Linked DNA regions of Solanum lycopersicum. The protein of the gene in region 1 interacts with the protein of each later gene in a pairwise test. Links are inferred from orthologs where the notes say so. Each region holds a gene or a part of one and is shown on either strand. Other genes may lie near its edges.

Evidence for each region. The genes of interacting proteins can lie anywhere in the genome.
Region 2: the proteins of cell division topological specificity factor homolog, chloroplastic (region 1) and septum site-determining protein minD homolog, chloroplastic interact in binary tests that used the Arabidopsis thaliana proteins (3 or more experiments, as listed by UniProt). The link is inferred for Solanum lycopersicum from reciprocal best matches to the Arabidopsis thaliana genes MINE1 and MIND.

The regions. Positions count from the first base shown.
Region 1 is NC_090804.1:6,241,483-6,250,273, reverse strand, and holds cell division topological specificity factor homolog, chloroplastic, read right to left. Parts: upstream 4,246-8,791; 5' UTR 3,947-4,245; coding exon 3,860-3,946; intron 1,068-3,859; coding exon 450-1,067; 3' UTR 216-449; downstream 1-215. Other genes in the region: uncharacterized protein, read left to right, coding at 6,978-7,226, 7,646-8,009, 8,348-8,418, 8,775-8,791. UniProt on the Arabidopsis thaliana protein: Acts as a topological specificity factor during plastid division and specify plastid constriction sites (such as the Z-ring) in a MCD1-dependent manner. Especially involved in epidermal plastids division in a FTSZ1-dependent manner.
Region 2 is NC_090802.1:3,325,100-3,332,549, forward strand, and holds septum site-determining protein minD homolog, chloroplastic, read right to left. Parts: upstream 3,806-7,450; coding exon 2,810-3,805; 3' UTR 2,582-2,809; downstream 1-2,581. Other genes in the region: uncharacterized protein, read left to right, coding at 305-555, 632-701, 806-1,117. UniProt on the Arabidopsis thaliana protein: Together with ARC3 and MCD1, regulates FtsZ ring positioning in chloroplasts in an ARC6-dependent manner. Calcium-dependent ATPase required for the correct placement of the plastid division site. Inhibits FtsZ filament and ring formation in the plastid.

The DNA.
Region 1 (8,791 bases):
CTCTATGTATAATAAGAAAAATACCAACCAAAAATGTATTATCTTTGCATTTGGTTATGAATATTGATTAATCCCGAAAACCATTTTATATCTCATATAGAAGGTGATATATCCTTATCTATCTCATCTCGATAACCAACTTTTTCCGATATATCTTTCCTGCAAACAGAAATACTCTTTTACAAACACAAAAAAAATGCATTGAAGATACACACTTGCCTAAAAACAATGGTTACATATAACGAATTGTTACAAAAGTGTCTTGGATTGTAACCAATACTAGCAAATTCATCGAACACTCCCAAAAGGGATTTTCAGGTATTTACAGCAGTCTAAGTTGATCGTAACACCTACTAAGTATGTTTAAAAAGGTGAAAAGAATTTATCAAATGCCAGACAAACAAGACATTTCAACCCACTTTCCGGTTAGGCAAAGGCATGTACAGGTTTCACATACCATAGTCATTGAAATTCTCGTCTGGAATGTAAAAGTCGAACTTGACATCAACTGAACCAGAATTATCTCCAGTGTCTTTGTACTCAACATTTGTTATTGTCCCAGTTGGATCCTCTACCTGGTATTCTGATCTCACCCGTCTGACTGGCACTGTGACAGAGTAGATTGTCCCTAGGTCTGGATCCGTTGAGACGCTCAGCTGTACTTTCTCCTGCGATTCTATTTCCACAAAATCAGAGAGAGCACTAACGACGTTGCTTACAATCTTCTGTTTGGCCTCATCACTGACAGCACATCTATCAGAGAAGAGAATCATCCTCAGGCGTTGCTTAGCAACATTAGCAGCAGAATTACTTGCCGAAGGGGATGGTGGAAACATTATCTTCCAAGCCAAGCTTAGGCGCTCAAAAAAGCTCATGCTGATAGCATTGAGGAGTAAATTATCAAATTCCTGGCTGATGGAACTTGCTGCTACTTTATAGTCTCCAAGAATCCCAAGAGGCTTTCTTGAGTGGCATCGGAAGCTATGGCTATCAGATGATAGACGAGACCATTTGGGCAACACCTCAGAGGAACTAGATCCACCATTAAGAAAGGCACTAAAATCTACCTGCAATGTGAAAGAAAATTATCTTTCATTGTGGTCATGATACAAACAATGGGAAAACACAACACAAAAATTTAGGCACATTTTATGAAATTGTTTACAAGATGCTAGGACGCACACGCTTTCCTACATATTGCACAGCTTGTAGGAACCATTATTTCCCAATGCTTACAATTTTTCTGACACAGCTTTAGTAAAAAGCACAAGTAGAGATGCAAATATTAAAAATCTACATTCAAGCATGGTTTACCAATAACCCAATCTTTGAAAGTGCTAGGATTCAAAAGATATAGAGAACGCACTTAAAAGGATATCGGCAAAAGTTTTTCGTTGGGGAATAAGTAAACATAACCATTTTATTGCTTCTTCATCTATCAAGGAAAAAAAATATAGTTCAGCATTTGAAGCAAACGATAAATCCAGGTGAATCAATGAATAAACATATTGCACAAGCATATCCACTGATGAGTTAAGAGTTCAAAGTACTTTTTACAGAGACGCACACATGGACCCAATTGATGCAAATGTATGACCATGAATATTTTACACCTTGAGCACATCTGATCCAGCTTGGACACAACATCTCACATTTAGCTAGGCTCTAAGATCCAAAGAGGGAAAAAAGGAAGACAAAATTGAACTAAAACTAGAAATCAAGGAAGCAACTTTTGAGCACATATCGACCTGGTACCAGGCAGAATGAAGAAGACCAGTTGAACTGTGAATCACATTTAGGGCCCAGTTAACTAATTCAACCATCTCGGCAAAAGAGACGAAGACCAAGTAGGCACCAATTAGTCTAGCCTTTTCTTTTAAATAGGACCTAGCCAGCTTCTCTAATATGCCGCGACACAAATATTCGGTATTAGAAGTGTCAACCACTCAGTCCTCATTGCAATTATAGGAACCATATTAGGCGTTATTGAAGAGGTCTCAAGCAACAAGACCACAAGTACATATTTAAGTCTGATAATGTCAATGGTGCATGTTTTTGGAAAGGCTATGCACCAATGGCATTACCATCTGTGCAATAACTACATGCCTATAAATCAAATTACTAAAAAAATGTGGCTATGCTAACATGAACAGGTGTAAATTAGTGCTATGCTAACATGAGCAGATGTAAATTAGTCGGAGTTAAGGCACCAAATTCACGTAGAAAATGTTAACTGTTAAGGGAAAAAACAACCAAAGTTCCAAACAACATAAGCTCAAACGAATCAATGCATTGAGATAATTTTGAAAACTTTACTGTGTCCTAAGTCCTAACAGAAAAGCCATCATCTCAAGAAAGAAGGAAAAAGTGTAGTGAATGTCCAAGCAATTCAGTGGGAAACACTCTCTTCCACTAGAACATTGGTTGAGCCTGAGTTAATGGGTTGTTATCTCCTCACATAGTCTTGGACAATCCTTACCTCATGAGGTACCTTTTCATGTTGAATTAAGCCCAAGGTTCATCACAACCAAACTCATCACTGTTCTTAGTTTACCCAATGGACGCCCATGTTATGTTCTCTACACACCAAATGTCCAGTTCGGTCTGGGTTGGTGGGTGGGTGGGTGTGTATGAGCATGGGGGTGGAGCCGTCCCATATTTGAGGGAATGGTATGTTTTCTCCGTACACAGTCTAGCACAATCCTCATCTCATAGCTAGCTTTTGAGGTCGCATAGACCCTAAGTTCATTTTCTTCACATGTAAATGAAGTAAGCCAGAAGAAAAGTGGTGATTAAGATTATGTCCATCAACTCTTATTTAAAGCGGGAAAAAAAACTAAATTAATTTAGTCATCAATAACCATACAGGAACTTTCCTAATACACACACACCAACAACATGGGACCATTACCCAAGCTTCCGTCACAAAAGCAGGTCCAGAATCATAAGCCAGGGGTGTGGAGTACCTCTAAGCTCACTACTTTTTTTTTGTAACAAAATATGCTCAATTGACTGTAAAAATACTTCTAAAAAAGTTTCAACATGTGTGTGTGTGTACATATAGACCTCAAGCAAAGGCATTGGGACTCATGATCCCTGCCTTCACTGTTGATCAACTCCTGTTCACGCATGCCAAAAGAGAATTAGCAAGAAAATCCTTCACCTAACAAGTCCCAGAAGCTCCAAACACATCCTTAAATAGAGCCCTGATCAATAAGCTAGACATTACTCAGATGATGCTTCTCACCTATTTCCAAACTCCATCAACCATAGTCCATACTAGCCCTAGCTACTTTTCCCACTTAGCTTAATCAGCAGTAGGTGGAAACAGCTAATTCACATAGTTACCAAGCACTTACTCATCTTTTAAAAAACACAAGACACCTAGCACTTAAGCCCTCCAATTCTGAAAGTTTCTCAATCTTAGAACTCTACATTCAAAACCGAGGAGAAAAAAACGAATCTTTGACTATAAAAGAGTACATTGTACACCTCCCAACAGCAACAGGAATCCAAGTAACTCTATCCACCCATGCTAGAACAAATGAGAAGAAATCACCTAGTTTTTTTCATTTCTGCTGGGATTTCAATCTGAAACCTCATGATGCTCACTTCATTCACAAATCACAACTACTTGTAAACAAATGTAGACCCATATCACCAAATTTTAAAAAAAGGTACCCAAGAAAAGCTATAGAAATTTCCTCAAAAATTACAGTAACACAATCTCTTAGATTTGGCGAAATGATTGGATGAAGCTAACATTCCCATAAAGTTAACAACTTAACAAATTCCCAACAAACAATTCACTTAAAATCGTATAAAAAACATGAATTTGTTAATCTATGAAAAGTCAAACCTTTGAAGGAGGTAAAGAGGTCCGAAGTGGATTCTTTGGGTATGGAACCAATGTAGCGGAGACCCTAAAATCTCCTGAAATTGCCATTTTTCTCTTTCTCACTGCTTCTACTTCGCACAGAAACGGAGGTTAGGGTTTGGAAATGGGAACTTTCAGGTGAAATTGCCAATACAGTAGAGCTCACGCCAACCCTACGTACTCAGCTCATTATTACGACGTCGTTCCCGGGTACATGTGAATTCTTTTGTTTTGATCTTTAGGGATTGTGTTTTAGTTATGTATTCGAATAACTAATCTCTGCATAAAATTTCGCTTGAGATAAAAATGGTAAATTTAAATTTATTGACGTGACTCGAGTATATACAGACTGAGATGACCGAGAATGCGTAATTTAGGGAGAAAATAACTTGTTTTAATCAATATGAATGAATAACGAGTGTAATATAAAATGAAATTAAACAGTAAAGTAATTGAATAGAAACACCTCGAGGTCTGGTACTAGAATTTGGTTGCGGCATCGGGCAAGTTTGATGTTGTTGATAATGAACAAAACAATGAATGACAAAGCTTAATAGAGCAACTTTTGTAGAACACAACCTTCACGTAGACTCTCCTTGACTCACGTCTGCAATTGTTATGCAATTTTTGGAGGAGGAGTATCGCGAATCTTTCGATAGTGGTTGGGCTTCATGCTTATCATATTTAGGTATGGTCCGATGTCAAATCTCGACGCTCTAGAGCTAGGCGGGCTTGTGGATGTATAAGTGTAGTGAACTTGGAATGTCTTGGAACAAGGTTATTTCTTTTCATCACCGTTGAGAATATATTCAGTGTCATTAAGTCAAACCTGAGCTGCCACTTCCTTCATGTGTCTTTTCTCGATTCAGCACCTGACTTTTTTTTACGAACATAGTGTTTGATTGAATGCATTGAAAAGAATCGACTTAGAATTATAAAATAGTGATTTTACGATTATCTTAAAAAATATTTATATAAATTATGTAAAAATAAATACATTATTCTACACAGAATGAAATATCTAAAGATGAAAACTACTCGTTTAAGGTATGTAATTATCTATAACAATAATCTCTTTAGTATTATATTAATACTCGCAAACCAATCTTCATTACTAATAATCGCATAAACAACCAAGTATTCACCTTATTGACGGTTTCAATAGAAAAGGGGGTGAAATTAGAGACGCAAGGTAATACCAAACAATATATTATAATTATTATTATTATTAATACAAGAATAAAAAAACTCAAATATGCCATTGAATTTTTAGAAAAAACTTATTTATGTCATCCGTTTAAAGTTTGACTCATCTATGTCATTACCGTTCAAGAAAAGGTTAATTCATGCCATTATTTTTTAACAGTGATTTTGCAAAACCATTTTGACACGTGGCCAATTGTAATTCGGCTATGTCATCAATTTTTTAAATAAAAAAATCATAATTATGAAGAAAAAAAATTGAACTAGATTTTTTTTTGTTTAAAAAATTGATGACGTGGCCGAATTATAATTGGCCACGTCATAAATTTTTTAAAATAAACAAATTAAAATTCTGAATAAAAATTGAATTAATTTTTTAAAAATTTTCTTTATTAAAAAAATTTATGACGTGACCGAATTATAATTGATCACGTGAATGATTTTGCAAAATCATTATTAAAAAATAATGGCATGAATGAGCCTTTTTTTAAATAGTAATGATATAAATGAGTCAAACTTTTAACTGATGGAATAAATGTGTCTTTTCTGAAAGTTCAATGACATATTTGAGTCTTTCCCCTTAATACAAAGTATTGATTTTTTAAAAGGAAACTTTGACGTATAGCCACTAAATTAGCGAGATTGAGAGAGGCAGGAGAGAGACGAGCGAGATTGAGAGAGAGACGAGCGAGAGAGGACAGAATGAGAGAAATTTGAATTGTATATGTATATTGGTTAAATAATAATATGTCTTATACATATGAATTTGTATATATGACAAGTGAGATAGCAAGAGGGAGAAGAGAGGCGAGCGAGATTGTGAGAGAGACGAGAGAGGAGAGCGAGAGAGGGAAAAGAGTGGGAGAGATGTGAATTGTATATGATGGTTGAATAATTGTATATTATACATATGCATTTGTATATTTTAACAAATAATACATATATAAACGTGATTAATTACATAAACTCGAAATCAAACCATGTAACTAATTTATAAAGTTGTGGTACGATTATCTTAAATAATATTTATATAAAATAGTGATTTTATGATTATCTTAAATTTGCTTAACCGTAGGGAATATTCTAGTAGTATCAACAAAAACCTTGTTGGATCAGTTCCACGTGTATCCACCACTACCAGCCTTTGCATTCTTGTTCATCGACCAAAATTGTCCAATTTTAGCCATGATTTTTCCGGTGAGTCATTTTCTATTAGCTAATTTTTCCGGTGAGTCCTTTTCTATTAGCTAATTTTTCAGGTGAGTTCTCTTCTATTAGCTAAGAATTGGATATTATTGACTCTTATGATTAAACTATTTGTATCCTATGTGTTTGATAAATTTCCTGAATGAAGTCATTTTTTAAAGTAAATTTTTAGATTATGCGTTGTTCAAAACTTTGGCTGAAAGAATCGGTGTATAACAAGGATTAAGCTACAAAAATGGTCAAGGTGTTTAATTTTTTGTATTTTTTAGGCATAAAAGGAGGAGGAAATACAAAGGTATAGTCCTCATTTAATGACATGAAATTTCTTCACTACTGTTTTGCGTTGTTTTTAGTAATATAACTAAGTTTCATTTTCAAAATAGCCTCTCGGGTAAGGTCTGCGTACACAAAATACTCCACTTGTGGGATTATACAGCGTAAGTTGTTGTTGTGTTTTCCTTTGCTATCACTTTTTGATTTATTGGATTGAGGAATGGGTAGTCATTCCTGATGCTAAGTATGGCTGTAAGATTTTGTTCTTGTGGATATATTTTTGTAAATGTAGAATTCGTTTGTCTTATGCATAACATTTACACATTCTCATTTACTTGACTTGTGGGTTTAACAGGAGTAGATGAACAAGGGGAAACAGTTTTTGAGTTCATTGATCGACAACAGCTAGCCAGGGAGCATGAATTCAGTAACAGCATCGGCATCAGCATACATTTCACTTTCACTTAGCATCTCGCCTCCTACTAGAAAAGCGCGGTCTAAATTTCAGCTAGGCAAATGCAAACCCCTAATATCGTCCAATTTTGACTGCAAGTGCAGGGCTCTGGGAGAAGGCTCTCAGCCAGAGACACAGTCCCAGACGATCCAACCTACAATTTATCAAGGCGTTTATGGCCCTTGGACAATCGAAGACTCTGATATTCGAGAGGTAAAACCAACTCCACCCTGTTGTGCCATGCTGTTTATATATTAGTTTAACCTAGAGATGTTGCATTTGAATTCGTTGCACAACACTGTTGAAGAGAAATGTATGCAGCATAGCTTAAATTTAATTGAAGGTTTCTGGCACTTTGTGCTCCTACAATAATATATTTATGCTTACTATATTTCTAAAGGAAGGATGCTAATATTAGCAATCTAATACACTGAAATCGGTTTGCATTCTTTTTGACAATGTTAATGAACAAAAGATTCTCCCTTCATGTTCATTAATTCTTTTCAGTTTTGTCTTTGTTACTATGTCCCCTGCCTGAATGAATTTTGTTAGATAAAACAAAAATTTTCTTCTTGCAACAATCAAGATGGCGAACTCTCGATGATGCAAAGTTAATGTTATCAACTTTGCAGGTAATTTTGTACAGATCAGGATTAGTAACTGCGGCTGCTTCATTCGTTCTTGCGTCTTCTGTGGCTTTGCTTCCCAATGATTCAGTTACGAGTAACTTGATTGAGAAAAACCTTGATTTGTTTTATGCAATTGGATCGTGTGGACTTGGCCTGTCATTATTTCTTATTCACATTTATGTGACTGAAATTAAACGCTCTCTTCAAGCTTTATGGTTCCTCGGTGCTATCGGATCATTGGCAACATATTCTACCCTTGCTCACCCAGCTGGCATGAATCTAGTTCAATATGTTATCGAGAATCCAATAGCTGTTTGGTTTGTCGGACCACTATTTGCATCATTGACAGGACTTGTGTTCAAGGAAGGTTAGGTTCCAGTTACATCTTTATAAACATGCAGTTACAATTTCACCTACCACATCACAGTATTATCAAATGGGAACTCATTTTAGATACCACATTTGGCTAGTAGAGATAGTAATTTTTGTTTGCAAGTTGAGGTTTTGGAGATGTAACAAAATGTATACTGATTTTCAGAATAAAGGAACTTACTGATTGTCCCTTAGCTGTAGTTATCATTTTCGGTTATGATAGATAATTCATATCTAACAAATTATACTTCTCTTAACTTCCACTTTCTGTAGAACACTCCGGTCTCCGTTCATTTAAGGATCTCTGAGTTTATTTTTGTTATCTTGGAACAGGACTTTGCTATGGAAAGTTGGAAGCCGGTCTTCTGACATTTGTCATTCCTTCCCTCCTACTGGGGCACCTGGTAACATTTGCGACTATGCTGCTAGTCCTAAAGTTTCATTCTATGCAGAGTTATTTAGTTATAAACCTGAAATATACTTCTCCAACCTTACAATTGAAACATCAATCCTTCATCGTCCGAAAATGACAACCTGAAGATCTCGAGATGCTCCAATCAGAACTTCTTTTTCTACAGCACTCAGATTGTTTGACTAGGCTTTCAAAAGTTAACAAAACTATTGAAATTTGGAACTGTTAGAATTTCACTTCATAGTTCTATTTGTCCACCCAAGAAATTGACATTATATTTTCCTGTTGAAGTTGTTTCGTTTCATGTATATTATAATGATCCAAACTAGACTATCTTCTGGATTCCAGACTGGTATTATGGATGA
Region 2 (7,450 bases), on another chromosome or scaffold:
TTTTTTGTTTTATCAGTGTAAGTAGACGTTTAAGTTGCAGAACTATTTTCTTCTTATATGATCTTTACTCAAATATTATTGGCTAAAAAAAAATGTCAGTATTAGTTAATCAATCTAAACTTGTTCATACATCAACGGGGCCAAAACTGGAAAATTATTTTATTGGCTGCTCGTGATTATATCATAGTTTAGACATCTGTAATTGAAGAAAACACGGTTCAGCTTGCTAAGTTGTTTCATTTCCCCACTGCTAGTAAAGACATATTTTGTTGAGTTCTGTTGCTTTGGATATTCCAACCGGCAGGTCATTGCAACAATCAATGCTCTTTCTACGGATGAGAAAAACTTTCTCAGTTCCATTGCTTCTTTGAAATTACGCTTGCAAAATTTTGAAGGTGTTTCTAGACGTTTTGAGAGGATAGGTACAGTCCGTGGGTGCCATATATATGATGACTATGCTCATCATCCCACCGAGATTCAAGCTACTCTTCAAGCAGCACGCCAGAGGTTTCCATTTCAAGAACTTGTAGTAATATTTCAGCCTCATACATGCAGGTATTTGCAAGAGTATTCTCCTTCCAAATTACAATTACATTGATTGCACAATGCTTGAATTTTTCATAATTTGCAGTCGTTTAGCAGCATTGAAAGACGACTTTGCTATTGCATTCACTAATGCGGACAGGGTTGTGATAACAGAGGTTTAGCCCCATTTTTGAATTCCGATGTTAAAACTGCTTAAGTTAATATATTTGTCCCCCTTTTCTGTCTTGGCTAAGGAGATGTAATTTGTTTCTGCTGCAAGATTTATGAAGCCAGAGAAACAAATCTGTGGAAGATCAATGGACGCGATCTTGCAGCATCTATAGTTGGCCCACCATCTGAGTTTGTCCCTTCCCTGGTATGCCGGAACAGAAAACTTCCTCACAGTTGTAGATGTTGGAGTTGCCTGAAATTTTGCTCTGATGTCCTTGTAGTGGCAAATGTTTTGAACATAAAAATAATCAAGTCTAATTTCACAAAATACGGAGTTCCTATTCTTAGGTCTCTAATGAATAAAAGAATTTCTCTTTGTGAAATGCGTTGGTGTGAAACAGAGGAACTTCTCTTTCTCTAATTAACTGTATATCTATCGTCGTTGTTCTAAGTATACCACATCAATTATAGTACTGCACAAGTCAACTTGTGTTTCATCTTGGTTAAACCCCATCTCTTAACGGTGTTTGACTAAACAGATACAGGTGTTGGAAATGCTGGTTGTTCAGATATCCAAGGATCCCGATCATGAAACTGTCATCATGACCCTAGGAGCAGGTGAACATTCTGATTTCCATGACTGGAAACCCTTGTATAACATTAGTCCATTGTCTAAGGAGATCATTCTTCACTAGATCGACCAAAAGGGAAACATGAAAACAAAGACAGTAATAGTAATTGTAAAAAAAGTACACAAATTTTACGCTCCTTATTTATGAGATTTGAATTGGACATCTTTTTTTTCAGGAGACATAACTTCAGTGGGTCGTAAACTACTAATTGAATTGCAGCACAGATTACTATAATATACTGCATCACGAGACTGGCAGCAAACTCAAGATGTTAATAGCCTTTACATATAATTGGCTAAATTTGAAGCGAAGGTTCCTAGAATTGTGCGCATTCATCTGCACTAAATATATGGCGGCAAGCCTGACCTCATGATAGATGATCTCGTCATGCAGATATGAAGATCATAATGTTCAACTGCTTGAGATGTTTGCATCCATTGATTGCTTTCTCTACTGCAGCAAATTCACCACTCTGGGAACAGACCTGGTCAATGATGCAGAAGGCATGGAGAAAGAAAGTACTGAGTTGCACCCCAATAGTATTTCTTGATCCCTATCAGTTCACCTCCCAGCATCACTGATCATCTTGATTCTTGACTATGCATATTGGTAGCAGTACAGTTCCTCCCTTTATGGACTGCAATCATGTGGATCTTGTGAAGGATATAAGAGAACTTTCGAATGTTTAGAGGATGGCTATTCACACTCAAAGTATATCCCCTAATTTCTAGTTTCTTGTTGGTGCATTTATGACTACAGATGATAGCTCGTCCTTTATAGAGAATCATAGTGTTGTAGGTCCTCTACTGTTGATTAATTGCTAGGTTAAGGAGATCCAAATTTTTAATAGAAGTATTTGTCTTGGCAAAAAAATGATCACCAATCACATGATTGGCTTCTTTTTGTAGAGCAGGGGCTTTTTGCCTTGTACAATATTGTTGTGCACTGTAATCAATTCTATTCAATGCTTATGGTAGTTCAAACAGGTTCCATTTCGATTGAGGCACTGTGCATATCAACATCTAATGAGCTGTCTGCAAAGAGACTACATAATTCTCTCACTAATACAGGTATTTTACACCCACAAATATCTAAATTTACCACTGCTGAGGGAAACTTATAGAAAATCTATTTGTGAGCACTGATTTAAGTACATGCATAGTAAGCAAGTAAGGCTACAGAGTGGAGATCACAGAGTGGACTGAAAGTGAGAGTAAGTAACTCAAATTTAGATTGGAAGAGAGGAGGAAAAATCACAGAAGCACATGACAGTTTTCAGCTCAAATCCAACAAAAACAAAACAGTTGCACTAATCTTCAACTATCCTACAAACAGAATCTTGAATAGTAATAAAGGAAGAATGCAAGCGTTTAACTCTCTACTATACACAGTTTTCTTGTGTCAACAGTACCTTCCAAAAAACACAATCAAACAATTACAGAAAGCTTACCAAAGCCACTACTAAGAAGAGAATCATTACGCTATCGTCCAAAAAATGAGAAAAATCCACGTTTCTTTGGCTCCTCCTCCATCATTACAGTCTCCATACTATCTTGCTCCACCAACCTCCAAGCTGCTTGCTCAAATGCCAGACCTGCCAAAGCTGGTGGCTTGTTCAACACAAGGGGATAACCTCTGTTAGTACTTCTAATAACTTCTGAATCCTCAGGTATTACCCCCAACAATGGAAGCCCTAGCATTTCCTGCACATCCAATACAGACATCATATCTTCCCCTTTTATCATATCAGTCCGAACCCTGTTCACAATCATCTTAATATCCCTAATTCCATCACATTCTAACAATCCTGTCACTCTATCAGCGTCTCTTAAGCTGGTAATATCTGGCGTTGTCACTAGTACAGCCTCATTTGCCGGAGTTATAGCCGTGATGAACCCAGCATCAATGCCGGCTGGACAATCAATGATGATGAAATCCGGACCACCTTCATCACGAGCTTTTAGGGCATCCACAAGCCAAACCAAAGCTTTCCCACCAAACCCTATCGGCAATTTGGATCTGGGCTTGGAAATACACAGCAGCTCGAAATTGGACCACCGCTTATCACGTACAAGAGCCTGATCAAGTCTGCAATCACCGTTGAGAACCTCGACAACAGTATAATTCACCCGGTTTTCTAAGCCCAGGAGGAGGTCAAGGTTGCGGAGACCAACATCGCAATCAATGGCGACGACAGAGAAGCCGAGCCTAGCTAATGAAAGACCGATGTTGGCGGTGGTAGTGGTCTTCCCGACGCCGCCTTTGCCGGATGTAATGACGACGACTCTCGGCGTATCTCCGGCGAGTTGAGGCTTGCGGTTGTACTGGAGCATAGAATGGATGGAAGGGTAGAAGTTTCTAGAAGGCCTGAAGGCCGGAATGGGTTTTAGGGTTTTGGGAGACAAGGAATTGGGAGGGGTAAAGGTGGAAGAGTAGAGAGAGGAAGGTTTAGGGTTGAGCGGCTGCAGAGATAACATTTTTGTGTAGAAGAACGAGAGTTGTATTTGAGTGAAAGAGAGGAAATTTCACAAGAACATGTTTCGATGTCGCTTAGCAGAAAGGAGAAGAAGACGGCTCTGGAAGTGAAAAAGGTAAGATATCTTTCTTGCAGCTAGGAGTTAAATTGTTTTAATCCGAATCGAAATTGATAACCCAGAGTAAAAAAAAAAATGTTATTGATTTATTAGTTTTGATGGCGGTTTTTAATTTTTTTGATATTAAATTTTTGATTTTTAACGGTTAATTGATAATAAATTATCTTTATATCATTGGGTGTATGAAATCAGGGTTAAATTTCATACTTCAATTTCTGTTTGTCTTTAACCGTTGAGTGTCAACCATGCTACCTTGTATCAATTTTTGCTTTTGAGCAAGAAATAACATGTCAATTCAAATTTATGATTTATTTGTTTGTCAATTTGTTTCTAAATGACTTCCAATAAAAATTTTAATGATTAAATTGACAATTATCAATAAGTTGAATCAATATACTTCAAAATTGAATAGATTGATACAAGATCCTAATGCTCTTAATTCCTCTTTTTCTTTTTGTGGTTATTTGTGTTTATTATTATTTTAGATAAGACATATATGAATGAGTCATTTGTGTATGTAGAAGAGTGAAAATGAGGAAGTTAATGATGTAGGTTTTGACTGGTATCTATAGCTATGAGTGTTACCCTTTACCTCCTAAGAGTATAAAGATGGTGTAGGAAATAAAAGGTTATAGATAGTTAAAAATGTCGTATCGTGCAATTATTCGAATTTATTTGTTTGGCTAGTGTGTGTTATCCTAGAAACAACACATTTTTATGTGTCTCATTTAATTTTTCTAAGTAGAATGACCTAATAGACTTATGTATCATATGCCCTTTAAATAAATCATATAAGATGACAAAGTAAAAAAAAAAGGTTTAAAATAGTGTTATAACTAATCTAATGATTCAATTGAAAAAGTGGTAAGTAAAAGGATTTAACTGATAAACAAAATCAAGTACAATATTCTCTCGAGTCATTCTGTCATTGTTTAACTATTTGTACTCAGTCTTACCTAGTTCCATGTGGGTTCCGTTCAAACCAACCAATTGTTTTAAATTTTCTTATTATGAATATACGGTTAAAAAAAATTATACTACTTAATTAGTTATCATAATTATACTTTGTTATAATTGTCACTTGCGACTAACATTAATCATATTATTTGGGTTGATTTTGAGTTTGTATAACTAATCGTGTTTGTATAATTCGTAAGTAACAATTTTTCATTTGATTTATATTTGTATACGATAGTTTGTATTTGTATATGACGATGATTTTCTTGGGTTTCAGTTTTATCACCATATATATTCAATCTTTTTACAATAACTTTTTAAAGTTTGTATAACTGTGTAGTTTTTGGATTATGTATGATAATTTGAATAAATGTTTACAGTTCATATGTTTATGTTTGTATCAATTCTTTATTTTGAGTTTCATATATTTGTATAATTTCATACTTGTATTACTCAATTATATAAAAATACGTGAATTGTACAAACATACCTGTGAATTATACAAACGAGATGTGAATTATACAAATAATTGTCCTCTCTTGCTCGCCTCTCTCCTCCCTCTCCCAATATCGCTCACTAGATATAAAACTACATATGTATACCAGTTACATATATACGATTATCTAATCGATTACATATACGATTCATCTCTCTCCCATTCTCTGTCCTCGCTCGCCTCTCCCTCCTTTCCCAATCTTGCTTGTCACTTTCCTCCCTATAACATATAGCTACGAATCAAAATTATCAAATTATAGCATAGAGCATAATTAAGCTATTTTTAAATGAATATATGCGAGAGTTTCCCTTCTTATTATTTACAATTTTAATTGAGTTATCATATAATCCTTTTGGAAGCCAGCGACCCAAAGAGGTTCTAAAAGTCCAAATGCTTATGCAATTGCCCAAGTGAGCACTAACATCTTCAGCTAGTGGTCCTAAACTTTTATTCTAAAGTTTTAGGAGTCAACATAATTTGGTTATATATAAAATTAAATGAAGTACAAAGTAAAAAGGGTTATTGTTACTTTAAAAATATGATAATTGTAACTTCAATAAAATGGCTATTTGTATAGGTAATGTATCTATATTGTGTATATGATATATAATAATCCATCATATATATATATATATATATATATATATATATATATATATATATATATATATATAGGTAATGTATCTATTTGCTTTCCTTTTATTTTGATTTTAGTTTCTTCACTGTTAATAAAGGACTAACTTGAAAGGGTAAAAAAGTGATATACTGAAAATAGATATCCAAGATTATTGTCAATTTAACCAATTAAGAAATAATTAGTCATTTTTTTCTAATTCCGCCCTTAATAATTACTTCATTTTGTTCAATTGAAAAGTTTGTAGACTTTTGATATTCTTGCTATAGTAGGGTTATATTAGTCAAATTATACTTTGTATTAAATTTTATTTGAGAGGAGTGCATGACCTTAACCTGACAAACAATTATGAACGGAGGAAGTAATAAACAAATGTTCAACGAAAATATATATAAGACAATTAAAATTGTTTATACAAAAACCATATTATGTATATATAAATGTAAAATCAAATCAATTCAAATAAAATTAATTTATTTAATTATTTTAAATCGATTTTTATCCAAATTATGAGAACACATAACCTATCATCTTTGCTTCATGCTTTTAGCATGTGACGACATAGTGAATGAACTCATCCAATTATAACCAACCATCCACTTCTAACCATACAATCTTTGATTCCCTAATCTACTCCAACTAATAACCCTATTTTCCTCCTCTTTTTTCTTTTTCTTTTTCTCAAAACAAAAACAAAAACAAAAACAAACTCCTTATTTATCAACAAGAAAAAGCAAAAGCAAACTCCTTTTAATAGAAAAACAAAATTCATTCAGATCAAGCGGCGCAAATTTCTCCATTTTCATGGTTCCCCCACTACAACACAATCTGAACCGTTCATTCCAAGTGTCCTTCATCACTCAAAGTTCTAGACTTCCACGTGTCTCACAACTAGATAATCAAATTGACGATTTTACCCTTCCTTCTCCTACACATCCCCGTCTCTTCCAAACCGGCAAATTCATGTGATCAGTTTGGTTATTATATTATCTTCTCTCTCTCTTTTTATCTCTAAATTTTCTTTGGACACCAATTTTTCTGTGTTCTCTTTTGCGATTTAGATCTATAGATCTTTTATACTCTTTTATTGCTAGTTGACTTTCGCTGGGAGAGTTTTTCCTGTGGCCATTTTCTCTCGAAGGTTTGTTTTTTCTTGATATTTAGAGCTTTGTGTTTGACTGAGATCTGAAAGATTTGATTTTTATGGGTTGGTTTTGTTTTTCTTTCTGATTTGGATTCTGGGTGTTCTTGATCTGATGTTAATTGTGTGCGGAAGTGATTGATTTTGTTGAAAGTTGAGGTTTTTGTATGTGGGTCGGAATTGGATTAGTGAAGTTTATATACGGATTGTGATTTGGATATAAACTGAATTTAATTGGAATTATTGATTTGTGTAGCTTTTGGTTGAACTTTTGATCTGATGAAGTCAATTTCTGATTTA